Ovis aries: one gene and its partners. The protein of the gene in region 1 interacts with the protein of each later gene in a pairwise test. Links are inferred from orthologs where the notes say so. Each region holds a gene or a part of one and is shown on either strand. Other genes may lie near its edges. The genes, in order: CTBP1, KLF12, CRY2, KLF3, HEMGN, NOL4L and NOL4.

Region 1 (4,230 bases):
GAAACAGCAGATGCGGCAGTGGGGAGGAGGACGCCAGGATGAAGCACGAGGCAGGCGCGGAAGGAAGGCTGGGAGAGAGGCAGGGGGCGGCCGGGGCTCTCTGACCCACCCCGTGCGATGAGAAGCTGGCAGGGCTCTGAGCAGGGTATGGCGGAATCCGATTTCCGTTCTCACGCTCACTGCGCAGCTTGCTGGGCTGGAGAGGGGCAGGTGACCTTGGGCTGGGGCCCGGGTAGGGAAGGAGAACCCTGGTCTCGGACAGCAGGGGCTGGAGGAGTCGCCTCAGGGGCCCCATCCTGTTAACTGAGAGAGCCAGAGGGGTGTGCGGGCCAGACACGTGCCCAGGTCTGGGGGTCCGGGCTTTCCCTTGTGAGTGGTTTTGTCTGTGTTCAGGAAAGTTCTCTGAGACTTGCTGAATGTTCATTTAACCCTGTTTTCTCATTTCCCCTAAATGTTCTAATTAACCCAATTTGGGAGGTAATCTCACAGGTGAGTACCAAGCACGAATTTAAAAGCATCTGTTCTGTGGCTAGATGCCCAGTTCCCCTATCGACGCTTATCAAACCCACCCACCCTTTCTCACTGGCTTGTGGATGTGCAGGATGTGGAGGCCAGCTGCGCTCAGCACGGTTCCTCGCGTTTCACCAGCCAACTGCTGTCCTGCTCAGCGTGCTTTTCACCTGTGAAGACAGGGGCACTGCCCGTCTTCAAGGCCACCTGCCAGCATTCCCACTGCCAGGACACCCCTGCTCTAGACATCACGGTCTCCCAGGGTCAGCCTCCGTCCTTGCCCATGACCGGAGCACCTTGACCTTGGGGCCTGGCGACCTCCCACCCTGGAGAGCCCTCCTGACCCTCGAGTGCCAGGACCCCTCGGGAGTTCTGGAACGAAGCACAGGTCGCTCGCTGGGGCTGGGGGTGGGGTGGGGGAGGTCGGATTTACACCGACTTCGGCCACATACCTGGCCGCTTCCCAGGGACCACTTCCACCGCCCCGGTTCCGGGGGAGCTGCCCCGCCCAGGCCTGTGCCCTCCTCGGTCCCCGGATCTCAAGCACAAGGGCCGGTTATCTCAGAGGAACCTCCGGGGGCGGCGCCGCTGCCTCCCCCGACCTCGTGGCCCCAAGGAGCCCAAAGGACCCTTAAAACCCGGGGTCGCAGACGCCGCTCGCTCGGCGGCCGGCGCGTGGGTGCGGGGATGGGAGCACGCGGGAAGGTGCACGAGGGGCTCAGCGGGCTCCAGGCCGGGGGGCCGCGGCGAGAGCGCGCGCGGGGCCCGCGGGGCGCCCGGCAGGTGCGGCCGGCGGGGCGGGGCGGGGCGCCGGGCCCGGGGGGCGGGCGGGGCGGGCGGGCGCGGCCTGCAGCCGCCCGCGTGGTCTGCGCGGCGCCCGCTCCTGGAAACAGGAGGCCGCCGCGCCGGAAGCCCCGCCCGCGCGCGCGCCCTGTCCCCGCCCGGTGGAGCGGCTGCTGGCGCGGCGCGGCGGCTCGGCACGGCGGCGCCCGGGCGCAGGCAAGCGGGCGGAGCGGCGGACGGCGCCCAGGCCGCGCCACGCGCCGGGCTCGCGGCGGAGCGCGCCGGACTGGTCGGGGCCCGCGGCCGCCCGCACCTTTCCATGGGCAGCTCGCACTTGCTCAACAAGGGCCTGCCGCTCGGTAAGGCCGCGCGCGCGCATTTCCGGCCGCGGGGGCGGGGCGGGGCGGGGCCGCGGGGGCGGGCGGGGCGGGCGCGGGCGCCGGCTTTGTGTGCGAGTGCGCGTGCGCGCCGGCGTCCGCGCGCCGGGGGCCGGGGCCGCGGGGGGCGCCGTGCGCATGCGCGGGCTGCTGCGTGCGCGCCGGCGCCCGGGGGGCGGGGCCGGGGTCAGGGCCGCGGGGGCCGCCGCGCGCGTGCGCGGGCTGCTGTGCGCGAGTGCGCGTGCGCCGCCGCCCCGCCCGCCCGCCCGCCCGCGCAGGTGACACAAAGGGGTGCGGGGCCCTGAGGACCGTGGCGGCCGGGACTCCGCGCCCGAGGCGGGGGCCCTGCCGGCCTGTCCGCCCTGCGGTCCCGGCTGGCGGGGCTCCTGCCGGCGGGGCCCCGCAGGGAGGCCGGGCGCGCCGGCGGCCCCGAGTCCTCTGGGGCTGGGCCTTCCGGGGCTTTGCGCCCCCGTGCACTGCGGCCCCGCTGTGGAAACGTCTGACGGGGCGCGGCGGCGGGGGTGACACCCGGCCCGGGCCCGTGTCCGCCCGAGCGGCCGGACGGTTGTGGCCGCGTCCGTCTCACCCCGTCCCCTCCTTGCTCTGTCAAGTGTGGGGAGCAGGCGCACTCCGTGCCCGGGCGGCGCCCCGAGCCTGCGGCCGGGGGCGGCCCGCGGTGGGGCTTTGCTGGCCGCCGCGCGCCGCCGCCGTCGGGCCGGGCCGTGTCCACCTGTCACTGCCCCCGAGCAGGCCCAGCTCCCCCGGCCGGGCCCCCCTCGCGCTGGGGGCGCGTCCGGGCCCCGGGCTCCGAGGTCTGTGGACGCAGGAGCGGCCGTGGGTCCGGGCGGGGCTCCCTCTGGCCGGTGCCTGCCTGCCGCGGAGGGTCCCCCCCCACCCCCGGCCCTGGGCTTGCCGGGAGGGCGGCCTGTGGCGGGCAGCCTCCTTTCCGGTGATGCTCTTCTCTGTGGTTGGTTAGGACAGGCTCGCTGTTGGGGCGTGCGATGGGATTGGTTTTCTTCCGAGCCCGCCCCGAGGAGTGATACCACCCCTCCCGTTTGTCTGGATGACTGGACAGTTGGGTCGCACATGAGGGGTCCAGAGTGGGGTCTGCAGGTCTTACCCCGCGGGGGCACCTTCTCCCTCTCCAGGATCCCCCCACCCAAGTCTCAAATGTATGTACGCAGAGGCAGACAGACACTCAGGAGAAAGCTCGTCTCCAGCAGTGTGGACGGGCGGGTGCCCTGTGGGTTAGCGTCTCCTGTCCATTCTTGCACGGGGCGGCATCCCTGAGCCTCTGGACGAGTGGCCGCAGCAGGCAAGAGCGCAGGCCTGGCGCTCAGGGAGCCCAGGCTGAGCCCCTGCCTGGTGCATGGTCGTGGCCTTGTGCTCTCTGCGCTGTGGCTGTAGAGGGGCTGGAGCGTTAGAAGTGGGGCCACGTGACGGAGCGGGTGCCACCTGTCAGGTGGAGGGGCAGGGCGGGGGATGGGGAGGGTGCTAGGCCCTGGAGGTAGGGGGCAAGGCTCAGGACCGGGGTCCCTGTGCAGACTGTCCCTCCGGAAGGCAGGAGGGTGGCGTGCAGGGCCGCGGTTTGTTTCACAGTGAACCTGCCCCTCTCTGTCACTTGATTTGGGTGAAGTTTTCCTGGGACTCTTGAGCATCACGAAGGTAGCAGGGCATGTGCACACAGGTGGGCGTGAGTGAAGACGGTGGCAGAGATGAATTCGAGTGGCGAGGGGTCTTCGTGACACATACGTGCCTCGCGTCACGGCTTTTATCTAGCACGTGTGCGGGGCGCCTTTTGGTTTCTGAGGAGCTGAGGACACTGCGCTGTGAGGCTGACTCTTGGTGGGTGGGCCTGCTGCGGGTGCTCTGAAGCCCTGTGTGCCTGGGGGAGCCCCCTGGCCTTGCCTCCAGGGGCTCAGCATCCACCACAGCCAGACCCGCCCTGTCAGTGTGGCCAGAACCCTGCTCAGACGGCTGTGCTGGGGGCAGGGGTGAGCTGGAGAAGGCGTGGCTGCTGCCGGCTCTTCCGACAGAGTGACACGGGGGTGGGCGGGGGGCCTTGGTGTGTCAGCTGTGACTCGTGGTCAGCCAAAGGGCACATCCTGACCGATGGGCCGGCTTTGCAGAGGAGGATGGGAAGGTACCAGGGGCAGTGACGCATGCGCTTCCTGCTGATGAGGCGTGTGCAAGGGACTGCGGTGACCAGGGGGCCGCAGTGTGCAGGCCGGAAGCCTGGTGGAGCGTGGGGGCCGTGGGGCCGGGGAGATGGCTGGAGGGCTGGACGTGGGGTCAGGGACCCTGTTCGTGGCTGCAGAGTTTGGAACTTGAGTTTGAGGCGGCAGTTCTGGGGCTGGAGCGGAAGCAGAGGCTGTTCGGAGGTGAGCTCTGGGAGTGTCCGCTTTGCGATGCTCCGTAGCCCTGCACCAGGCGGCATGAGCCAGTGCGTGCCCCTGAGCCAGCGCTGCGGGTGCGCTGAGGCCTAGGCCTGGGCTCTCAGGAACCCGGGGCGTTCTGCAGATGCAGGGATGTGCTGTGACCAGTCTGGGGGCTCAGCGAC
Region 2 (3,926 bases), on another chromosome or scaffold:
CATTAGTAGTGAAACTACTGAATAACTGAAATATTTCAAAAATACACAGAAACCCCTCAAGGATGTTTATCTCCCACAGCGATAATAGTTTTAGGGCATAAATTATTACAATGTTCTGTGAAACCATCCCAACTTTTACCAGCTTTAGTGTATTTCATAGTAATTATGAATTAGAAGATAAAATAAAAAACCCCTTTCCTTATTACATTACAGATTCCTGTCAATTCTGGTATGCTCAAAACCCTCTCCCAACTCAAAGGAGTTTAACCTAATCCAATCGACCAGGCTGCAGCCATAAAGATACAACTTATGCAACCGAATGTTTGTCCTTCAACATCTCATTTCTAAGCTGCTAAAGTTAAACATTTTGTAGCCGAAAAGTATATCCCTTTATCATAACCCATTTCTATGTGGTTTTTAAAAAAATGTAAACAAAAATGAATGAGGTTTACAAATAGCACTCCCAGCCTATTTTATTTTTTAGGTGAGGGGTCACTGTTTTTGCTGAATGCCAATTTCAAAAAGCCTTTCTTAGAAGAAGGAATACACCCAGCCTTCGAAGCGACCACTCCTATTCCCCCATCACAAGCCGCTGCCCGTTAAAAACCACCAAATTCATTTCAAGGCATTTACTTAGCTGAACAACTCTATCCTCCAGTAGGAAGAGGGCATGGAGGCGTCTAGGTGGATTTGCAGAATGACGTCCGTTGATTGGCAGATGTCTACCGAAGCCACTAGACGCACATGCACCAAATGTAAATAGAGCTGCTCCTCTCCCTGGTGTTTCAGGGAAACTGAGAGAATATTAAAGCTGATTTAAAACAAAACATCCGAGGGCTCGGCTGAGGATTCCATTAGCCAGTGGAATTGCCTAAAACAATCCATACAGCGCGACACTTAAACCATCCGTACAGTTAAATTAGAGAGCTGACAATATTAACCACGCGAACTGTTTATCCAGATTACACATTCCGTTGTACTAATACTCTCTAACTCAACACAGTCAGCTTTTACCAGCTGAATTAAGGCTATTACTATTAAAGTATGCAAAACTCGAAGCGCAGGGTGAAGGGGGTTGGGAAGCTGCAGGGCATGTAACAAAGGAATTGGTACTTTTTCCAAGCTTTTGCCCCAAATGCACTTCGAAACTGAACTGTTGAGTGCACCCCACCCTTTTCCCCAAAGATAAAAGTTTTCAAAGTTCTAACAGGCAGTTCTTTGCCCAAGAAAAGCAGGACTGACTCTTCCTGTAGGGAAGCATCTAACGCGAACACCAACTAATGTCGCGGAGGTCAAGTACGAGTCCTCCTCTAAAGGCAAGAAGTGGCTCCCAGGCCGGCTCCGCGGGCTTCCCGCCCGGGTGGCCCTGCAAAGTTGCCCCTTGTCAACTCCGGCCAGGTCCCCCGTAATTGAAAATAACAGCCTCGGGTCAGCCCCCCGGCTACTTCCACAGACCAGGCACTGTAGCAAGTGACAGTTACACATCATTACGACCAGAGACAATAATGAATGTGGCACCGGGACCACTATTCATGCCAGCAGTGTCATCTCCGCTTTAACCCCTTCCCCTCCGCTCTCTCCAGTGCACACCCACAGCCCACACGGCCCGGTGGGGCAGCTCGTCACCCAACTCGCTCTATTCCTGGGGGCAAACTACTTCCACAAGCTCCCCCCCCCCAACCCCCAATTCAGCCCTGGTGTTTTATTTCCCATCCTTGGCAACTGTCAGGCAAACACTGCAAACAACAATTCCACTAGGGATAGAAAAATATTGCTTAATTCAAGCTACTTGATAAGTTCTTTTTAAAAAAATGGGGTGGGGGGGAGAAATCTCCTTTCTTCTCCACGAATCCAACCGACGCTACTTGCTTTGCAAAAGCGTCGCCCTCCCTCTCGCCCCCCCGCCGCCCCGCTTCCCAACACTTTCCCCCTTTAAGAACACAGACCAACCAAAATGACTTAACTTGAGCAGATGACAGAAGAAAAATAAAACACATTAAGAGACTACGGTCTGATCTGGGATGGCACCAGGAAAAAAAAAAAAAAAAGAGGAGGGGGTTGTTTATTTTGATAAGAAACAGAATCGGCACAGACCTGAACAGAAGCTGCAGAGCAGGAGAAATTGTTTTCTTTCCCTCACCCAGAGTCCCCCTCTCTCTCTCTCCCTTTCTCTCGCTCTCACACGCGCGCGCGCACACACTCACGCTCACACACACACACACACACGGCGTCACCCGCGCACACTCACACGCACACTCGCACACGCACGGGCAGAGCCTCTCAGCTGCTCTCTGCAGTTCTCAGGAAATGAATGGGGGGCAACCCAGGGAACTGTTGTACTTGCAAATGACTTACCCGGATCACATGATGCGCTAAATGTAGGGTGGGCCGGTGGGTGGAGGCTGCCGAGACGCGAGCCCGGGTCTAGCGTGGGGAGCCTCGCCAGGCCCGCATCGAATTACCCCGGGGCCCAGCCGAGGGGGTTGCAAGACGCCGCTTCTCCTCCCTTGCAGCCCGCAGCTCAGGAAACCGGAGAGGCGCGGGGGGATGGGGTGGGGAAGGGTGGGGTAGGGTGGGGTGAGTTGGGGGGGCGGGTGGTGAAAACACCAAACCCCCAAACAAAAGAGCTCCGGGTCCTCCTCCCCAGAAACAAAGCCCCGCCGCTGCGGGCGAGCCCCGGGGTGGGGCCGAGGGCGGGGGCGGCGGCGGGGAGGGGCTCGCTCAGCAGGCGCTAAGTCGCTTTATTGCCATAAAATGGGGCCCCCGAGCCGCTCCGCCCGAGGATTAGGAGGCGGGCTCTGAGTGTGATGGTTGAAATCCCCTGTGGGAAACTAACCCCTCCCCGCTCGCAGAGGTAGAAGGCAACACCCACTGCCCGGCCCTCGCCTCGCCGCCCGGGCCGCCGGCTTGGGGGGTGGGTCCGCGGAGCCTCCACCCCGCCCCACCCCGCCCCACCCCTGCCCCCGCCCCCCGGCCTCGGCCGCGCTTCGCGATCACCTGCACCACCTTGCTGCGGCACCCAAAATAACCCACACATGGCCAACACTGCCTTGGGAGCCGCGGGGCGCGAGGGGCCCGCGGGAGGAGCCCCCGATTTCAACTCCTCGGGAGCGGACTCGCGCGGAGCCGCCAGAAAGTCCCCTCTTTTGTGCCAGAGCGCGCTAGGCTGCCTTAGGAAGGGAATTTGGAGACAAATAAAGCGCGGAGCCCGCTCGGCCCACCCCTCCTCCGCCCCCGCCGCTCCCCTCCCGCCCGGGTGGAAACGTGCGGGGAGGGGGCCGGGCGCCCGAGCCGTCCCCGCGGCTCACCCACCAGCTAACTTGGAAAGGTGTGGGCGGAGCCGGCTCCAGCGGCCGGCGGCGGCTCGGGACCGCTCGCGGGGACCGCCCCCGTGGCTCCGGGCATCGCCCGCGCCGGGCAACAATGGGGTCCCGGCCGGGGCGAACGGGCGGGAGGTGCCCTGGGCGCGGGGGCGCACGCGGAGGTGGGGCGCGCGCAGGGCCGGGTGCGGAAGGCGGTGGGGAAATCATTGTTTGGGTTCTCGAGCGACGCAAGTTGCGGGCGAGGCGAGGGCGTCCTCCCGCGCAGCGCTTCACCTTGGCGGGATGAATGGGGGCGAGGCGGAGCCGCACGCCCGGTTCCGGAGCCCCGGGAGATGGGATGCCCGCCCTCGCTCGGAATTTGGGCAGGAAGCGGGAGCTGTAGATACCGGCCAAGGGGCTGCGGGAGAGCGGAGTCCGGCCCTCCCCTCCTCGCTCCCCAGAAGGGAGCCCCGAGAAGCGAGCAGCCCGGAGCTGAGTCCTTGACGCCCTTCCCGAGGGTCCCTCCCTCCTTCGCCGCTTCCGCGCCCCGGAGAGCGGATCGACGAGATTCTGGGGCGGGAGAGAGGGGAGGCGGGCAGCGCGGCCCGGCTCTCCCGCGGCGGC
Region 3 (3,944 bases), on another chromosome or scaffold:
CATATTCTCGGCTGCCTTTCTCTGTCCATTTTGACTCTTAGAAAGTGTCCTTCATGGTTATTTTAATCTGATTTATCTGCTGAAGAACGCAGTGTGGGAGTCAGTGTAGGAAGTGCAGGAGGATAACAGAGACACAGATTGTGGCCCCCTGGCCTCTGGCAGAAGGCCTGGAGCCCACTCTTCCGCGGAGGCTTCTCAGAAGCAGCAACTGAAGTATTTGCAGAGCTAGAATGTTCTGCTGTGGCACAGTTCTCCCAGGTCACTTCCAGATCCAGAAACAGCCACTGGAAGACTACACCTATTGTAGTTATGCAGAGGTGCGTCTGGCTCTATCTCTCCCTCAACCCCCAACAAAATGCACAAAACCGCCTGCAGTTCTGCCTTCACGCTGAACCTGGGAGCAGAGTATGGTGGGGGTGGTATGAATGCATCTGTGTCCAAACCCAAGAGCAATGATCGTATTCCATCTACTTTGGGTGACTTCACCTCTCGTCTGATGCCAAAACAAATCGCACTTCTTGCCAATGAGCTGCAACACGTATCCCAAGTTGTCAGGCTGGGGTTCTCGGGCCAGTGCTTCTCTGGCTTTGCTGCACATGACAGCTTTAAAGACCCTAGTGCCCAGGCCATAACCCAGAACAATGGAATAGAACTGGGAGAGAAGGGGACCCAGGCATCTTTTAAAGGTCCTTAAATGATTCCTGTGTGCTGCAAGGTTAAGAACCACTGCCCTAGTATGTCCCCCAGTTTTATTTATTTCATGGCATCAATTCTACTAAAGGAAGGCTGGTTACTTGTCTTGTGCCACGAAAACATAGGCTCCGGGTGCTCTGGATACCACATCTGTGTGTCCACTGCTGTGTCCCTAGCAGCAGTGCCTGGCAGATATTAGGCATTCATTAAATAATTGCTCCATTAACATCTGCATTCCTGCATGGCCTCTGACTTCAGGATTTGACCCGAGCATCTGAGTTTAATCAGCAACAGAGTTTTCGTCATTGATCTGTGACCTCCACTACCACAAAAGTATAGGCAGTCCTATGCAATGTCCTCCAAAACCTAATAAAAGAAGAACCTCCTTCGTGACAATACAACCAGCAAGCAGTCTGGATTCTATTTACTCTGCCTGGCACGCTGCCACTGGGAGAGGGGCAGAGTCTGAGACTCAGTCCATGCTAGGGATGGCAGGTCATTTGAGAGTGTTTGTCAACCCCAACCTCCTATCTATAGAAACTGGAGCAGAGGCAGAGCAATACAGCAGCTGAAAACTGTGTGGGCAGGCTCTCCACAGGACTGTTTTTAGTGGTTCTCTCAATACTATATTAAGTGGGGCGGGAGGGGCACTGAATAGACCCACTGCTGGGGGCACTCACTCTCCTCGCAGGGCACACACCTTGGAAAGGAAAGAATGGTGGAGAGCCGGCGTATCCCGGGAATAACTCTGCCCCTTGTGCAACAAGGCCACAAGCAAATATCCTCCAGAATAATGCAAACAAACCAGAGGACTACTGCAGGGCGTGTTGCACACAGATGGGAACACAGTGTCTCAGAACCCCTTGGTTTCAAACACTGCTTAGAGAGAAAGCACATCCACTGCCTCTTTGTTCATCTTTTCCCATGATCCTGTCCACTCCATCTCCTGGGTGTCATCAAAGAGGGGCCCTCGATACCACTGCTTTCCTGCTCCCTATCTCAGCACGTCAGCTGATAAAAGTCTAATTCACAATCGCTCATCCGTGCTTTAAAATCAGTCTTGAGAGAAGAAGAGGAAGGAGGGGACATTTTTGGTTCCTTTCTTTTTTTTTTCCTGGTGAGTCCATAGCTGCTGAGGGAATTCTCCAAAGTGGGTTAAGCACTGTTCTCTGCTCTCTAGCTCAGGACAAAGTGTCTCTAACTGAACATGCCCTTGAGCCTGGCACTTTGCTTTATCTGATGCTAAGCCAGAGTCTCTAGACATCTCCCAGAGACAGGATGATCTTGGTGGAGGGAAGGCAGGATGGATGAAAAAAATGGATTAAAAAAGCCCCGGGGCTTAAAGATGACCTTCAGGAGCTGGGCAATGCGCTCTTTACTTGAAGAACGCAGGCATCTGCTGTGCTGTCAATTCAGGAACCCTCCCTGTCCTCACCCCACCCCCACCCCGCCCCAGGTTCATGCCTAGACAGGAGTCCCTATTCTGCCACTCACTGGCTGCAAGTCCTCGGGCAGGTCAGCTTGTCTCTCTAGGATTCGAGTCTCACCCGTACAACGGGGATCATGATCTGTCCCACAGGAACGTCGTGAGGACCAACCAAAGAGGGCAGCACCCAGTGCGGACCCGCGGTGTCAGAGGCTAGCCCTCCTGAGGCTAACCCCTCGACCCCAGGCCATTACTACCGGGACTCACTGCTTCCCCGGTCCCGGCTTCTCCCCTCCGGGCACTTGGCTCCGTCGCCCTGCTGCACCTCCTTAAGGTCGGGGTCTTTCGGCAGAGGCGACTGGGACCAGAGCCTCCGCTTCTGAGGGTGGGTGCCCCAGAGGCCAGGCTGCGTGCTCCGGGCCCAAGAACCGCGCCCCCGCCCCGGGGCCCCCCTCACCTCCATCGGTTGATCCCGACTGAGGAGGAGGCCGCGAACCAAGGGTCGAGGATGTAAACGCAACGCACGCAGTGCGCCCCGCGCACAGCCGCCAGCAGAGCCGGGTTGTCATGGAGCCGCAATCCCTTGCGGAACCAGTGCACTGAGGAGGCGCCGTCCCCACGGGGCGCGGGCGCCTGGGCCGCCGCCGCCGCTGAGGCAGTCGCCGCTGCCGCCGCCGCCATCACCGCCCTGACTGCTGGAGCTGCCACCGCCCCGCCCCCATAGGCGCCGCGGGCCTGGCCCCCGGCCCGCCCAGTGACCTATGACGCCACGGCTCCTCCCTGGGGCCCCGCCCCACGACCCTGGAGCGCCTCTGCTATTGGCTGAGTGCCTCTCGCCGGACGATTGGCTCTGAGGCGCCCTGGTCTGTCCCCGCCCCCTCACGTTCCCGCCATGTGTGGGCTCTCTGGAGAGGAGCCCTAGGGCGAGATAGAGTGGAGCTTCCCAGGGAGGTCTGGGCGTGGACGGTGTCTGGAAGGACAGTGGATCCCAGACGTCTTGCTTGAAGCTGTGCGGGCTGGCGGGGTTGCTGTGACTCCAAAAAGTGACTAACAGGACGAACAAATGGCTGCCCTACGTCATCATCGTCATCGATAGCATCGTCACCTACCTCACTCTACATCGTTACATTTTACTACAGCCACTGTTTATTGAGTGCATCTTTTAAGCCAAGCAGCATGATAATACCCTTACACTGACGCGTGGAGAGGTGCCCTGCTGTGCAGCAGCAGATGGGTTGGGAGTAGGGACTGGAAACGTGGAGGATGTGATTTGAGGTAGTAATGATGCCTTCAGATGAATTTTTTCCGTTTGTTCTGTGTTTAGTAGACTCAGTGGTACCTCTGTATGCAAAGCACTGGACTGAAGTCTGTGTGAGATTGACAAGTGGGGTCCTCTGCTTCTGGGGGTCATCAAATGAATCTGTCTCAATTTGGCCCTAGGTGTGCCTGTGCTCAGAACACTTCCTGAACTTGGGAATGAGAAATGAAGGAGTTTAGCAATATAGCCAGCAATTTAGCAGCATTACTTGGAACAACTCTGTAAACCACAGTGTTATTGCAATCCTAGGCTCTCTCATTGTCAGGGCTTTGTACAAACTGTTCCCTCAAACCTGGATCACATACCACACCCCACCCCCTTTCTAATTTCAGTTTGTCCTGTGTCTCTGCTCAGTGTGACTTCACCAGGGCTTCCCAGGTGACTTAGTAAAAGAGAATCCACTTGGCAATGCAGAAGACATGGGTTCAATATCTGGTCTGGGAAGATCCCCTGGAGAAGGAAATGGCAACCCACTCCAGTATTCTTGCTGGGGAAATCCCTGCACAG
Region 4 (4,155 bases), about 59 Mb from region 1:
ATAAGCAAGATCTGTAAAAGCAGTCCAAGACTGCTCAGAGTTATCTGTTCAGTGAAGCCTCCTATGCCTAGTGTCCAGTGGTAAATGCAATGAGCCACATCCTTCAGATCCTGCTAGTTCTTCTGAATTGTAAGGTGTAACCTCATCCAAAATTGACAGCTCCAGGGTAGAATGCCTATCGCCAAACCAATACTCAAAACAAGAAGGAAAAGCAAACAAAACAGCCTTCTTCAGATTTCCAGCCAATACACACACACACAGTTCTTGAAATTGAACTAATAAACTAAAAAAAAAATGTAAAATTACTTATTCACCCATATAAACACATTGGAGCAAAGGGTGTACGTAAAAAGGTTAACTGACTTTTGTCATTATGACATAACACAGGCATCTTAGGCAATCCTAAGTGTGTGGAGACATGATAACTCCCTGGGTGGGGACAGGGAGTTTGAGGGCAGGGACCATGGCCTGGTCTGGGCTACTGATCTACCAGAAAACAGCCTGAAACAGGAAAGAGCACACATATGCCACTTGGAATGTATGACGCAAACCCCAGCCTTGAAACAAAGAACAGGAAACAGCTCTGCTGGCTGTGCTGGAGAGAAAGCACAGAGAAACATTTAGCCGGCCCTCCCTGACCCTATATTCATGAGCAGCTGGAGTTTTTTAAGACAACAACAGGGGGGTGGAGGTGTTTGTTCTATGGGTGTGAATAATAACACCAGCTTTATACAGGAGACCTGCCCTATTTACAAATAGGAGCTTCCACATACAGTAAACATCATAAGTGAACATGTGATTTTATCATATTCAAGCAGCAGCAACCTTCCTAATTAACACCAGCCTCCCTGCCAATTTCTTTTGTCTCTTTCTCCCCCATCCCAATGGCTGGTCTCTAGCTACAGTCAAATTCTGGGTTGGGGTAATGCATACTGCACAGTCTCAGAGCATCGGGAGGAAACGGAGAGAGCACTGCAGCTGAGGATTCAGATGACACTGGGTCATCCCACATAACTGAATGGGACCAATTTTAAGTGTTCCTGAGCCACAGAACTAAATCCTAAGACAAAGAGCGTGGAGACCTCTAAAGTCATCCCAAATTTTCAGTCTTTTTCAACTGCAGAGTTACAAAGATATTTGCACACCGCTGCACATCTGTTCTACATGTACACACATCTACAGAAATCCACCTTGAGAATGCAATTCTGTTCCTGAAATTTCATTTAATCCAACTGAAAAATTGTTATACAATCTGTAGAATAGAGTATCGATTTTTATAAGATGTTCTAAAATGTCTATTTTCCTTTAGGCATTTGTAAGGTAGCAAAATCCATTCACTAGTCCTTTCCCCATTATGTCTCTTTATTTTGTTAGCCAGTACTGTTTAACTAGGTTCCTATTAGCAGAGATTTAAGAATCTGTGTGTACATATAACTACAGGTAAAAAGAAAAAAAGGAAAAAAAAAAGGCATCACTGTGTCCACAGCAACCAGAAGATTGGGTTTTAATTTAGAAACTTTGCAGTGAAAAAAACAATAGCTTTCTCCAAAGCTATGTTGCCATGTTTTACATCTGACAAGGTTCTGTGGTCTAAGCAGTTAGTTTTGTTCTTCTCACGTTAAGGATTTTCATACTTGCATTTTCCTTCAGGCAGGTAGAATGCTCCTTATAGTCTATTTTCACTGACCTCACCCATGGTACATTAGGCTGCTTTTTTCTAACAGTTCTGCAGCAAACCCCACTGACTGTAGAAATTGAGATATCAGCTTCTTTAGGGAACTGAATGAAATTAAACATCCCATTTAAGGTTTCTGTGAACAGAACAAAGTCAACTTCCATACCTCATGTTTCAAGCCACAGAAGAAACACATCCACTCTTTAAAAAATACTACTAACTCACAAAATTTTCAAGATGTTAGTGTCATAAAAATTTTTTCCCCTAAAAGCAAGTCTTCTCTTGGGTTATGCAGATTATCATCCGGATGAATTTCTCTTTTAAAAATGCTCCTCAAATTCATACATATAAAGCACTCAGAAAAGGACAGCACAAAACTGTTCTGTGAAGTAACCTATAATGAACAACTGCCTTATACCCTACTTGATTTTGTTTAATAATTAGACACCAAATCTAAATGAAGTCAGAATACCACTTCACACTTCTCTATACACCAGACTCTTCTGAGAATATAATCAATATGTTTAAAATGTCTTGGATGACCTATCGAAAAATACATTCTGAGTTAGTAAAAAACAAATTCAGTGTACAATGTTTATTTTAGTGAAATACAAGAAGGTGAGCAATTACCAATTTCCCTTTAACCTGGCTTAGGGAAAAAAAGTCCCATTCACACGGTCTTCATCTAGTTTTATATACTGCTGTAAAAGTGGAATACTGTTCTCGCTTTTATCTGCCAGAGAAGTAGCTATGACAATTCCAGGTATTGTCTGCTATCTCCAAAGGTAGGTCCCAAGCGTCCAGGTCCAGAGATCCCTCCCTCGGCCCCCACCCGGCTCGGGGCCCTAACACTGCAGGCAGTCGCCTAAGGCGTTCTTCGCCTCCAGCCACGCTGCAATCCTTCCTCCAGACACTGCGGCAGGTTCTCTCCTTGCACCCGAGGACGACTCTCCAAACCCGGCCAGCTCTTTCCCCTGCCCTCAGGGATCCAGACGCCCTGGCCAGCTCCTGGACTCCAGGACCGAGAATGGGATGCTCCCTCCACTCCCGATCGCCCCAAGTTTCTTCCCAGAGGGCCCGCCAGGCTGCTCCAAGTTTGCTCCGGCGACGGGTGAGCGGCAGCGCGCCCGGTCCGAGAAGGGGGGCGGCAGGGGGCGCAGGCGGGGGGCGGGGAGAGGGAGGGTGCGGGAGGTGGGGGACGAGGAGGGGGAGGAGCAGGAGCGCGCGGCCTCGGCGCTACCTTTCTCCAAACAACGTTGCCACACGCGGAGAACACTAAGATTTCTGGGGCTTTGGAGGGAATCGCGAGCGGGCAGGCGGGAGGCGGTCGGGGGACCACACAGGTGAGCCCCCGCCCGCGCCCTATCCCGGGCCGCGGCGGGCGCCGCTGGCCTTGCTCGTCGCTCCCGCAGATCTGCACGGCGGTTCTCCCCAATCCTACACTTTCCACCGCGGAACCCGGGGGCCCCCTCCCCCTCGCCTCCTCTTCCACCCCCGCCCCCGGCTGCGCGGAGCTGTTGCACTTTCCCAAGCCCGGGGGCGCCCCCACCTCCGCGCTGCACCCCCAGCCCATTCACCGCACGTCGCCCCCCTACCCGGGAAAAAAAAAAAAGGAAACTGGACTAGCCGAAAAGGGGGGCAGCGGGAGTCGGGGCGAGAAGGAAAGGTGAGCGAGAGGGGACTTACTTTTCGAGGCGCGGTGCTGAGCGCTGCAGGCGAGAAATAAAGGCCCGGATCCGGGCTGCCTGGAACCCCGCGGATGCAGAGGTGTCAGCGCTCCAGTACGGGCGGCGGCCGCAGGGGACAGGGACGGGGACAGGCGCGCGTGCGGCGGGCGCGGCTCGGCTCGGCGGGCGCTCGCGCTGCGCTCCGGCTAGGGCCCGGGCTCCGCGCGGCTCCGCTCCTGGCTCCCCTCTGGCTCCTGGCACCAACTCCGGGCAGTCACATGACGCCGGCGCCGCTCGCTCTGCGAGCCTCCCAGGGCTGGCGGGGTAAGTAGAGGCTGGGACCCGGGGTGGGAGGGTCAGGGAGGGGAGAGGGAGCCGCCGCGGCCGCCCGGGCTGGGCGGGTCCCCACCCACTTGGGTGGAGGCAGCCGCCGGAGGGGTCGGCCGAGTCACTCGCGCAAACACGCACCCCGCCCTGCGCCCTTCCCCCGCCACCCCCGCCTCCCGCGCCGCCTCCGCCCCGCCCCGCCCAGTCACCCGGGGAAGGCCTGACAGACACTCATTATTCCCCGGAGCCGGGCGCCGCCCCGCCGGCCCAACCTGTCCCGCGAGGCGCGGCGCGGCCGTGGGGCTGGGCGTGCGCGGCCCCCGCCCTCCGCCTCCCCCTCCCCCCCGGAGTCCCCGCCCGCGCCCCCTCCCGGCGCCCTCCGCCCTCGGCCCTGGAGCGCGCGGCCCAGCCCGGCCCGGCCCCGCCGCCGCGCCGCCGCCCGAGCCCGGGGGGAAGGAAGGGCGGCGCTGGCCGCTCCGGGCGTCA
Region 5 (3,500 bases), on another chromosome or scaffold:
CAAGGAAGTAATCAGATCAACTTAAGCTTTCAGTGCCTTAGTTTCCTTTCCTATAATATAGGGACATATTATTCATCCACTAGGGTTTCTAACATTGAATAAAGTAATTCACAAAAAATGTTTAATAGAGAGATTGGCAGATAGAAAGTGCTATAATAAATTTTAAACAACTGTTACTTCCCATGATGTTCATTGAACATTGTTACAATAGTAAAACTTGGCAGTAACCTAGGTGTTCATCATTATAAGGACTGGTTGAATAAATTGCTGTATATATAACATAATACTGAACAACTGTTACAAAGATGTCATTAGGATGGCCACAATATACATGGCATGTGAAAAAAAGCAGGTTATAGAATAGAATGTTATTGTACCATCTCATTTGCTAAAACAAAAACTTAACATTGGGGGTCAGAGATAGGAAGTGGTATCATAGGGCACTTTATAGTCACTTAGATATTGCTTTAATTTATTATAATGAACATTTATAATTATCATTATAGCAATTTTATAATCAGCAAAAAGGAAGACATTTCTACTTGTTTGGCAAGATAAAGAAAAAACAAGATAAGCATTAATTGCCAAAAAGCATAAAATAATTAATTAATTGCCTGTCTTAACCTCACTGGGTTTAGAACAAAACCCTGAGAATCTGGTGCTATGTTGATTAGAGCCACGTCTCCAGCAGGGGACTCCTGTCAATACAGGTAGTGTTTCATATGTCTGCTTTTACTGTAATTTTAAAAAGGTATTTCCTCAAAACCTATATTGCTTGGAACCCAACTTAAGCCCAGGTTTTTGTTGCACTCATATTTTAGGAGAAAGAGAAAATAAGCTACCAAAGGAATTTCTTTAGAAAACAATTCCCTGGGGATAGACTGCTAGGCTCAGCCCATTTTCTACACCGAGAACAGGACTGAACAAGGAGAGCCAAGGCTCTCAGTTATGTCCCTGCTGCTGCTAAGTCACTTCAGTCGTGTCCAACTCTGTGTGACCCCATAGACGGCAGCCCACCAGGCTCCCCCATCCCTGGGATTCTCCAGGAAAGAACACTGGAGTGGGTTGCCATTTCCTTCTCCAATGCATGAAAGTGAAAAGTGAAAGGGAAGTTGCTCAGTCATGTCTGAGTCTTCGAAACCCCATGGACCGCAGCCTACCAGGCTCCTCTGTCCATGGGATTTTCCAGGCAAGAGTACTGGGGTGGGGTGCCATCACCTTCTCCATATGTCCCTGAGACAAGTAAAGTTGAATAAAGGTCACATTGCTTTTAAAATACTATGCTTTTCAGGGACAAATATTGAAATAGAAAGGTAAGCCTGTTAACTCCTATAACAACGAGTTCCCTAGTATCAGGATCCTACTTTATGTCTTTGTATCTTTCTCAGTACCTTGTACCATGAATTTACTTGCCTTTAGTTTGCCAGGAAATGTTAATTTTCTAGGAAAAAAAAAACTTTATTCACCAAGATTTTGTGTTAATATAAATGTAATTGTCCAAAACATTTTGCACATAATTGACTCTACATAGGGTTCATTTTTCTTCACCTACTAAAGCTTCCCAAAATGCATAGTATGTATAGGTACCCACTATATACACTTATAGTTTCAATTATTTTCTTTAAATTACATGGAAATATACCAAATATATATCAGTTGAATGATAAACATTTTTCACTTAAAACTGGACAAAGGCATCAAAGATACCTATTGAGATAACTGGGATAACCCAGGATTGTCACAGAAGGCTATGAATCAGTGCTCCAAGGGAGAGATGCCTATTTGGTGCTCTGATTATGAACAGGAAGCAGTTAAGAAATGGCAGTGTCACTAACTTGACCCCAGTAAGAAACCCATACCTTGAGGAAAAGTATAAACATCCTTAGCATCTTCCTGGTGTGCTTTAGGATCCTGGTCTTGGGGTCCACCTATTTCCTGGTACAGTTTGGGAAAGCATTCTTTAGGAACATCTTTGTCTTTATATGTCTTAGTAGAGAGGTCTTCAGGCCCAGGTGTTTCTTGGTAAATTTCAGGTGCACCATCTTCAGGTCCTGGTGTTTCTTGGTATATTTCAAGTGAATATTCTTCAGACCCAGGTGTTTCTTGGTACATTTCTGGGGGATATTTTTCAGGAACAGATGTTTCTTGGGTTGTTTTATGAGAGGGGGCTTTAGACACAGCAATTTCTTTATACATTTTATGAGAAAAGTCTTCAGGTTCAACTGTTTCCTGGTGTATTTCTGTAGAAAGCTCTTTAGGCACAGCCATTTCTTGCTGTGTGTTAGAAACAAAGCTTTCAGTCTCAACTATTCCTTGACCTGGTTCAGAATCGGGTTCCTCAGGCTCAGGTCTTTTCTGGTATGTTTCAAGAGTGGAGGCTTTGGGCGCATCTGGTTTGGGGTGTGCTTCAAGAGAGCGTTCCTCCAGGTCAGTTGTATCTTCAGATGTTTTCGAAGAAAGGACTTTGGCTGCAGTGGCTTCTTGGCATGTTTTAGGAGAGACGTCTTCAGGCTGAGCCATATCACGGAACATTTTGAAAGGCTGGTCTTGAAATATAGCTATTTCTTGGCACATTTTAGGAGAGAGGTCTTCAGATTCAGCCCTATCTTGGCTTATTTCAGAAGGGTGGTTTGGTACCGCTATTGCTTGGTACTCAGAAGAATTTTCCTGAAGGATAACACTTTCTTGACCTACTTCAGAAACATGTTTCTTAGGTGCAACTCTTTGTGGGGACACTGCCGGAAGGAGAGCTTTGGTCACACTCCCAGGTGGCTCGATTTCTTTCTCTTCAGGTGCTGGTGCTTTCTCCATCATTTCCCTTTCTAGTTGTGATGGAAGCTCCACCTTCATTTCTGTATTTTGTTGTCTCTTTCTGCCTCTTTCATTTCTTTTCCCTGTTCTTTGCCGCTTGTGTTTTTTCTCTCTATGGAGAAATCAGAATTACTATCAAAAATAGGGATCCAGAATTCAAATAAATGTTTGGCAGTTAACTGTTCCAGGGAGTCCAGGACTCCCACTGCCTAGTGGCGTGACTTTGAACAAGCTACTTAATCTCTCCAGGCCTCAATCTCCTTGTGTGTAAAATGAAGAAGGAGTGCTAAATGTTCTCAATTGTCCGGAGAGGAAATGACCCTTGGGACTTTTTTGTCTTTGATGACTGGTTCAATAAGCACCTTCTTAGTGAGCAGTGTGTGTGTGTGTGTGTGTGTGTGTGTGTGTGTGTGTGTGTGTGTGTGTGTGTGTTTGAGAGCGTATACTTAAACTTTGGTTATAGAAAATGTATCACTGATATTATAAATGAACAGATTGGCATTCTGTTTTACATAATAGTCTCTTTGGGTTTAGCCTGTGTGAATTCGTTTCTCTATGCCGGTGGGGAAAACTGATATGATTGTGTTGCTAAATCTGCAACGCAGCCCTGCTTCACATCTGTGAAGCCTGCAGGTGATGAGCCTGGCTTGCTCATTTAATACAGTGTCTTGTGTAAAACAGGCTAAGAG
Region 6 (3,500 bases), on another chromosome or scaffold:
ATAGGGAACAGATGGGCTGGGAGAGAACCAGCCAAGGAGACGGCCATCAGGCAGAGCATCCCCGCAGCTCCTGGGCTGGGCTTCTCCCGTCTGCCGCCACCCCCGGAAGTCACCGGCAACCTGATGCAGAGCCCGTGTGTAGAAAGAGGAGAGGGAACCAGGCCCAGCCCACGGGGCAACCGCCCTGTCCTGCAGCAGGAGCAGAGACGGGACCCCTCCTCTGCCCTCCAGAATAAGGAGCCCTTCCCTAGCTCTCCCGGGAATACACTTCCCCACTCTCCTCCCTGCTTTTTCCCTCTTTTTCATCCTTTACAGCTCAGTTCCCATCCTGTCTCCTGCCCCCTGCCACACATGCTCTGGTAAGGCCAGAGACCACTGTCGTTTGCCTTTTAGAAAGTTTGTGGCTTTGGCGAGTCCTGACCGGCAGTGTCCTGGAAACACAGGGAGGTCCTGAAATGGGATCCTCTGCCCTCACAGAGGATAGCTTCTAGTAGGTGGTCAACCCCAGGAAACAGATCAGACCCTGCCACATGGCTATACAGTGGCCCAGGTGGTACCCAGCTCTTGCTGATGAACAAAAGGATAAAGACACACTGACTGCTGCCCTGTCCGGCAGTAGCTGCCACCACCAGCCTCCATGTGACCACACGCAGCAGGGTCAGCCCTCCCAGGGTCCCTGGCCTTGTGCCCACCTCTCAATCACACCCAGTGCCCACCACACCTAGTCTCTGAAGGGCTAGGGACAGCCGGGTCCTCTGGCCTCCTGCCAGGCTGTGTCAGACTCGCACAGGAGGGTCAAAGTGGCCATGGGTCAGTCACATTCCCAGGCGCTCCTTGACGGATCCTCAGCCAGGGTGAGAGGAGACAGACTGTAGGAGACACTCACGCTCCCATCTCACTTCCGTGGTCCACACGAGTGGCCTGAGGCCACAGCGGCCACCTCATGCGTGCCGGCTCTCTGCCTGCCGTACAGAGGCTGTGCCTGCCACTGGGACTCAGTCAACGGGGAGGATGGGGACTTCCCTGGTGGTCTAGTGGTTAGGACTCCATGCTTCCAATGCAGGGGGCACAGGTTCAATCTCTGGCCGGGGAACTAAGATCCTACATGCCACAGGGCTCGGCCAGAAAATAAATTGGAAAAATAAAAGTGGAGGGGGAGGACGATGCACTGCCAGTCCTGGCTCCGTGGCCTGGGCTCGGGTACGCTGACCGTATGACGACTGTATAGAGACTCTTGTACAGAAACATCCCACGAGAGATACCACTGCAGGCCAGCACTGGTACCCACCCTACACCCCCTGCAGAAGAGGAAACAGGCCCCAGGAGGAGAAGGAACCTGAACAGGGGCCTCGGCTGGAGCCCAGGAGAGTAGGGGTCTGAGAAAGCACCTCTGGCCCTCCAGCCCTGGCAGGAGAAAATGCCCTCTCCCCGGGGTAGCTCCCGCACCCAAGGCCACGCTGCAGATCTTCGTGGTCTGGAGGTGACCAGCAGAAGTAACAGGAGAAGGTCGGGGAGGCCAAATGGGGGGCATCTATCTGCCCACCTCAGACTGCTCTAGTGGATTTTATACCTCCATGTCCCTGAGGCCATCAAGGCCTCAATCTGCACCATCTGTAAAATGGGGACAAGCGTGCAGACCAGTCAGCAAATGGGAAGCCTGGGGCCTCTGCTGAGCGAAGCCCGCTTGCTGCTGCTCTTCACAGCGGACCCTGTTATGGAGGCAGAGGGGCCAGGCCACACATCCCTCCCCACCTCCACTAGGGCCCAGGCCACTAGCCTCACTTCACAGATGGGGACACAGGCGGAGAAGTGAGGGGCCTGCTCCCGCTTCACGACCTCCCCAAGCAAACGGTGGTACAGTGGCCACGGCCACCACCCTGCCTCCGCTGGTGATGGCCACACGCAACTTCACGTCAGCCTCGCACAACCCTGCCGTGTATGCAGGAGTGGCTGAAGCTCACAACTGTGGGGAGCCCGCAGCCCCACACACCTCGGGGGTGGTCTTCACCCCGTACTTGACGCGGCTCCGCAGTCCATCGGCGCTGCAGCCATCGGAGGGGTAGGAGGGCGTGCCCAGAGTAGAGCCCTGCGGGAGCTTGTCACACAGGTTGATGGGCTGATCCTCGGCGCTGGCGGTGAAGTCCATGGGGGCCACGGCGCCGTTGCCGTTCATCTCGGGGAAGGCCGGGTCTCCCTGCGTGCTGCTGGAGGTCGACGGGTTCAGGGTGGAGGAGCCATTACCGCTGCCGCTCTCAGAGGAGGAGTCGTCTGGAACGAGAGGCCTGGGTGTGAGGCCCCACCCCAGCACTCACCGGCCCCGAGACACCCCCAGGTATGTGGCAGGGCAGCTCAGGGAAGTGATACTTGCCCCGTGTAGTCCTCACAGGCATCCCTGGGCAGGAGAGCGTTGCTGTCCCTACTGGAGGCTCCAAGAGGCTCCAAGCCTTACCCCAGCCTCGAGCTCGGGGGCAGGGTCCCGCTGCCAGAAACCGGGGCCACCAGGAGCAGAGCAGCTATGGAGTGTGCAGGGCGTGGGGGCCTTCTGCCGTCCACCCGTACAAATGCCACATTCAGCTTCCAGGGCCTGGGATGAGCGGCTGCAGCCTCCAGTCTAACCCACCCGGCACTGGCCCAGCGCTCCTCTGACACCCCTGGAGGTTGCACGGGGCTTTTCCTTTGGCTCACCACTGCCTCACCCCTTCACACCCTCTTCCCCACAGGACCCCTCCCCACCGCAGACCCTGGAATTTCTCCACCCCCTGACTTAAGGATGGCTCCACTGTGACACCCCTGCTCCCAGGAAGCAGGCCTGGGCCCAACCCTGGACAGCCTGTGTAGACACAGACCTGCCTCTCCGCATGGCCACACGACACTGGACACCCAGAGCCAGGGCTGCAGGGGCTCTGTCCGCGGCACCTCAGTGGGCCATCCCGCCTTTCCTGCGGCGACAGCCCTACAAAGCCCTGTGGAGGGCGCCCCCTGCTGCAGAGAGCACAGCATTGCCGGGGAATCCAAGACGACAAACTTAACTCCGGGGCTAGACCTTTCCGATGAATTTCAGGCTCCTTTCCCCGACCCTGCCCCCTGCCTCCTGCTTGGTCAGCTGAGAAGGCAGAGGCCCAAGCTACAGTCTAGCTCCCGGGGTTACTGTCAGGTGAGTACCGCGTGGTTCCTGGTGGCGCCCAGGTGCCCAAGCGGCTCTGCACCTGCCACCAGGGTGGGAGGGGGAGGGGCGGCCGCAGGGAGCCCTGACCGCATCCCAGGACACCCCTTCCCCCCCACCTCCGCCAGGGTCGCGCACGACCCCACCCCCACCCCCACCCCTCCCAGCCAGCAGATTATGAAGATTTAGTCCTTGGTGCTGGGCACTGGGCACGCGCACCTCCCGAGCGTCCCCATGGCGACCGAGCGGCTCTAGCGCGCCAACCAATCACTGGCCTGCCGGTTGCCCAGGGGCGGGGCCAGGCTGCCCATCAAGCAGCCAAGGCCCAGGGCAGAGG
Region 7 (3,500 bases), on another chromosome or scaffold:
ATGATCTTTGTTTCCTGTATACGTATTTCTTTGCGACTTTCATGACCAACTTAAAAATTCATTGAAAATCGTAACATGACCGTACCTTGCTTCCATTTTCTCTTGCTTCTCGTTCCATCTTGAGGTCGGAAATTAGAAGGTTCTTATATTTGTTTTTTCCATTAGTGCTATGGTCATCTATTCTGTATTCCGAAGTCAGCTGTGCTGAGAGGGGACTGTCGCTCAGGTTCAGTGGTTGCTCGTCCTGTTCCAGCCCAGCTTTGCCATCACAGTTGGGGTCGCCCATCTCCCTGCTGTGTGTTCCCCCTGAAGCAATTGAACTGTGCCCCAGAGTCTCGTTGCCATTGAAGCTCTCTGTGGCAGAATCATCTGTTGGAAAGAAAAAATTTATATTTTGATTTTAATTGATATGCTGATAAGTTTCTACTTCAACAAACATTTATTGAGCTCCTATTCTGAGCTTGGCATGGTACTAACCAATTTTACATATAATGTGCAGTTTATCCTTAGCAAAAACTTGTGAAGTAGTCTGTATCATTTTTAACCTAGAAGGCATACATATGTAGGCACAAGAAGTGAAGTATAAAATAAATAGAAGATAAAATAATCTGAAGACAAAATAAGCCTTTCAATTGCAAACACAATCTCAAAGAAAAGTAAATTTTAAAAAATTGCCGATTATTTTGCAAGTAGTTTTTGTTTTTTTCAGTGAGATTGTCCAGATTCAGTGAAAACTCTCTGATGAGAGCATTGTCCACCCTGCTAGCAGCTTATATACTAGTACAAGCTTTATGGGCATTTAATATGCATCTGAAACATCAAAAGTACTCAGAAATTTTGCTCAGCCATTATAAAGGCTTTAAAGCCTAAGGGGTTTAATCATTGCTGGCATCTCTCTGCAGATAAAAAGACCCTGAAATCAGTGTTGCTTATATCAATAATACAAAATTTTAGAAATGATACAGATTGTCAAAAATAGAAATTTGGCTTAATGTATGTTGAAACATTTAGAATATTATGGAATTAGTCAATATCCCATTTTAAATATAAAGGAAAATGTGAATCAAGAGGCACTAAATGGAAAAAGCTAGTTACAGAAAGGTGTGGTCAATATGAGCCCAATTTTTTGAAAAGAAAACATAAATACAAAAACAAAAAGACTGAAAAGCTGTAGTCTAAAATGTTAATATTGATATTGTCTTAACAGTATGGCACTGGATTTTCTAACATATTCTCTATTATCTACCCTATATAGAGTTCATAGATGCAGATGGTGACTGCAGCCATGAAATTAAAAGATGCTTACTCCTTGGAAGAAAAGTTATGACCACCCTAGATAGTATATTCAGAAGCAGAGACATTACTTTGCCAACTAAGGTCCATCTAGTCAAGGCTATGGTTTTTCCTGTGGTCATGTATGGATGTGAGAGTTGGACTGTGAAGAAGGCTGAGTGCTGAAGAATTGATGCTTTTGAAGTGTGGTGTTGGAGAAGACTCTTAAGAGTCCCTTGGACTGCAAGGAGATCCAACCAGTCCATTCTGAAGGAGATCAGCCCTGGGATTTCTTTGGAAGGAATGATGCTAAAGCTGAAACTCCAGTACTTTGGCCACCTCATGCGAAGAGTTGACTCATTGGAAAAGACTCTGATGCTGGGAGGGACTGGGGGCAGGAGAAGGGGACGACCAAGGATGAGATGGCTGGATGGCATCACGGACTTGATAGACGTGAGTCTGAGTGAACTCCGGGAGATGGTGATGGACAGGGATGTCGCGATTCATGGGGCTGCAAAGAGCCGGACACGGCTGAGCAACTGAACTGAACTGATAGAATTCATAATGTACTGTAAAGTATATAATTTATAACATATAATATATAATTTTCTAATAACAAAAATGGAATAATTATAGAAGAAACAGGGAAGGAGAAGAAGCAGAACTAAGAACACTTCTGGCTTTAAAATACAGAAGAAAATTGGTTAGAAGGAAATAATATCATTGAGAGCAAACAAAAATAAAGTTTACCTAAACAATAAAATTCTGTTTGTCTTAATTTCTTCTTTATATTCATAGTAAGAATTTGCTATTCATTTTAAAAGATTATGACTGAGAAAGGCATTAAACTGCTTCCTTTAGAGCAGAGTCACTGATGAAACCATGCAAATATCTGTGACTTTTTGTGAATTTTTTGTTTGATTTCCAATATTCTCAAGTTTGCTTTCCTTTTGTAGAGTACAATGAAATATTTGTCATCTTCTAATCAATCGAAATCACGGAAATAATGTTTACATTCTGAAGGAGTGGTATAACTCACCTGTTAGTTTATTTATTCAACAAACATTTACTGAGTGCCTGATTTTGGCCAAAAGTGGGTAAAATATTTGGTCAATAGAGAATCTGGTGCCTTCAAAGGGTTCACAGATAATTTCGTAACAGAAAAATAAAGATGAAGCTAAAATACAGAGCAAAAAAAGGAACAAGGGATCCAGAACAAGGGATCAAGATATCCAGAAGGTTTTCTAAAGAAGGTGGCATTGGAGTTGAATTCCAAAGCTTGAATCAGGTGAAGAGACTTCCCCACCTAGAAACTGTCAGGTGCAGTCACAGAGGAAAGAATAATCAGGCCCATGAGAAATAAGAGTACTGAGCTGAGTACCAAAGAGACACTGATGAAAGGGAAACCTAAAAAGGGAGGAAAAGAAGTGTTTTGTGCATCAAAGAACTTGGATTTTATCTTGAGAGCAAACAAGTAATTTTAATTACCTGTGGGAAGTAATGTGAAAAAAAAAAATGTTTTAAAGAGATAACTCTGTCTTTGACGAGGAGAATGGTATGAAGGCAACAATCTGGAAGCTGGGGGGACCCTTAGGAGATGTAGAAGTCATCTAACTCAGCTTGTTGAAAGCTCAACAAACTCTAAGTAAAACAGCAGCAGTGCAGAGTAAGAGGGGGTGACTAAAACTATTTTAGAATAGAAAAGATATGTAAAACAAACATACAGTTATCAAAGGCAAAACATTGGAGGGAGGGATAAATCAGGAGCTCGGGGTTAACATACATACACTACTAAATATAATGAGTAGATAACCAACAAGATCCTACTATACAGCAAAGGGGAACTCTACTCAATCTTCTGTAATAACCTAAATGGGAAAAATACCTGAAAAAATGAACATATGCATATGTATAACTGAATTACTCTGCTGTATACCTAAAACAAATGCATACTTGAAAATCAAATATATTTCAGTAAAAATTTAAAAAAAAAAGAGAAGAAGTAAGACTGATAATGGTTGGATACACGGCTAGGAAAAAGTCTAGGTTTCTCACTCTAGTGAAAAATAAAAACAAAGGGCATTCAGTTTAATTTTCAACAAAATAGTATTTTTTAAGCAATTCTCTGAACATATTTTGTGAGAAAATGAAAATGAGTTTGCAGGACAAGAAATTACTCTGTTTATGTACCCATTCAAAAACGGACCTCATTTGGTGAAAAAAAACAA

Evidence for each region.
Region 2: the proteins of CTBP1 (region 1) and KLF12 interact in binary tests that used the Homo sapiens proteins (3 or more experiments, as listed by UniProt). The link is inferred for Ovis aries from reciprocal best matches to the Homo sapiens genes CTBP1 and KLF12.
Region 3: the proteins of CTBP1 (region 1) and CRY2 interact in binary tests that used the Homo sapiens proteins (3 or more experiments, as listed by UniProt). The two-hybrid records come from large-scale screens. The link is inferred for Ovis aries from reciprocal best matches to the Homo sapiens genes CTBP1 and CRY2.
Region 4: the proteins of CTBP1 (region 1) and KLF3 interact in binary tests that used the Homo sapiens proteins (3 or more experiments, as listed by UniProt). The link is inferred for Ovis aries from reciprocal best matches to the Homo sapiens genes CTBP1 and KLF3.
Region 5: the proteins of CTBP1 (region 1) and HEMGN interact in a two-hybrid assay, tested with the Homo sapiens proteins (2 studies listed by BioGRID and IntAct). The link is inferred for Ovis aries from reciprocal best matches to the Homo sapiens genes CTBP1 and HEMGN.
Region 6: the proteins of CTBP1 (region 1) and NOL4L interact in binary tests that used the Homo sapiens proteins (3 or more experiments, as listed by UniProt). The link is inferred for Ovis aries from reciprocal best matches to the Homo sapiens genes CTBP1 and NOL4L.
Region 7: the proteins of CTBP1 (region 1) and NOL4 interact in binary tests that used the Homo sapiens proteins (3 or more experiments, as listed by UniProt). The link is inferred for Ovis aries from reciprocal best matches to the Homo sapiens genes CTBP1 and NOL4.

What each region holds. Positions count from the first base shown.
Region 1 is NC_056059.1:117,891,533-117,895,762, forward strand, and holds the start of CTBP1 (C-terminal-binding protein 1), read left to right. Parts: upstream 1-1,430; 5' UTR 1,431-1,612; coding exon 1,613-1,652; intron 1,653-1,894; exon of another isoform or gene 1,895-4,051; intron 4,052-4,230. UniProt on the Homo sapiens protein: Corepressor targeting diverse transcription regulators such as GLIS2 or BCL6. Has dehydrogenase activity. Involved in controlling the equilibrium between tubular and stacked structures in the Golgi complex.
Region 2 is NC_056063.1:49,622,989-49,626,914, forward strand, and holds the start of KLF12 (Krueppel-like factor 12), read right to left. Parts: upstream 2,801-3,926; 5' UTR 1-2,800. UniProt on the Homo sapiens protein: Confers strong transcriptional repression to the AP-2-alpha gene. Binds to a regulatory element (A32) in the AP-2-alpha gene promoter.
Region 3 is NC_056068.1:74,808,396-74,812,339, reverse strand, and holds the start of CRY2 (cryptochrome-2), read right to left. Parts: upstream 2,801-3,944; coding exon 2,577-2,800; intron 1-2,576. UniProt on the Homo sapiens protein: Transcriptional repressor which forms a core component of the circadian clock.
Region 4 is NC_056059.1:58,646,304-58,650,458, reverse strand, and holds the start of KLF3 (Krueppel-like factor 3), read right to left. Parts: upstream 2,801-4,155; 5' UTR 1-2,800. UniProt on the Homo sapiens protein: Binds to the CACCC box of erythroid cell-expressed genes. May play a role in hematopoiesis.
Region 5 is NC_056055.1:49,766,583-49,770,082, reverse strand, and holds part of HEMGN (hemogen), read right to left. Parts: intron 2,924-3,500; coding exon 1,860-2,923; intron 1-1,859. UniProt on the Homo sapiens protein: Regulates the proliferation and differentiation of hematopoietic cells. Overexpression block the TPA-induced megakaryocytic differentiation in the K562 cell model. May also prevent cell apoptosis through the activation of the nuclear factor-kappa B (NF-kB).
Region 6 is NC_056066.1:61,548,134-61,551,633, forward strand, and holds part of NOL4L (nucleolar protein 4-like), read right to left. Parts: intron 2,269-3,500; coding exon 1,991-2,268; intron 1-1,990.
Region 7 is NC_056076.1:23,440,148-23,443,647, reverse strand, and holds part of NOL4 (nucleolar protein 4), read right to left. Parts: intron 370-3,500; coding exon 86-369; intron 1-85.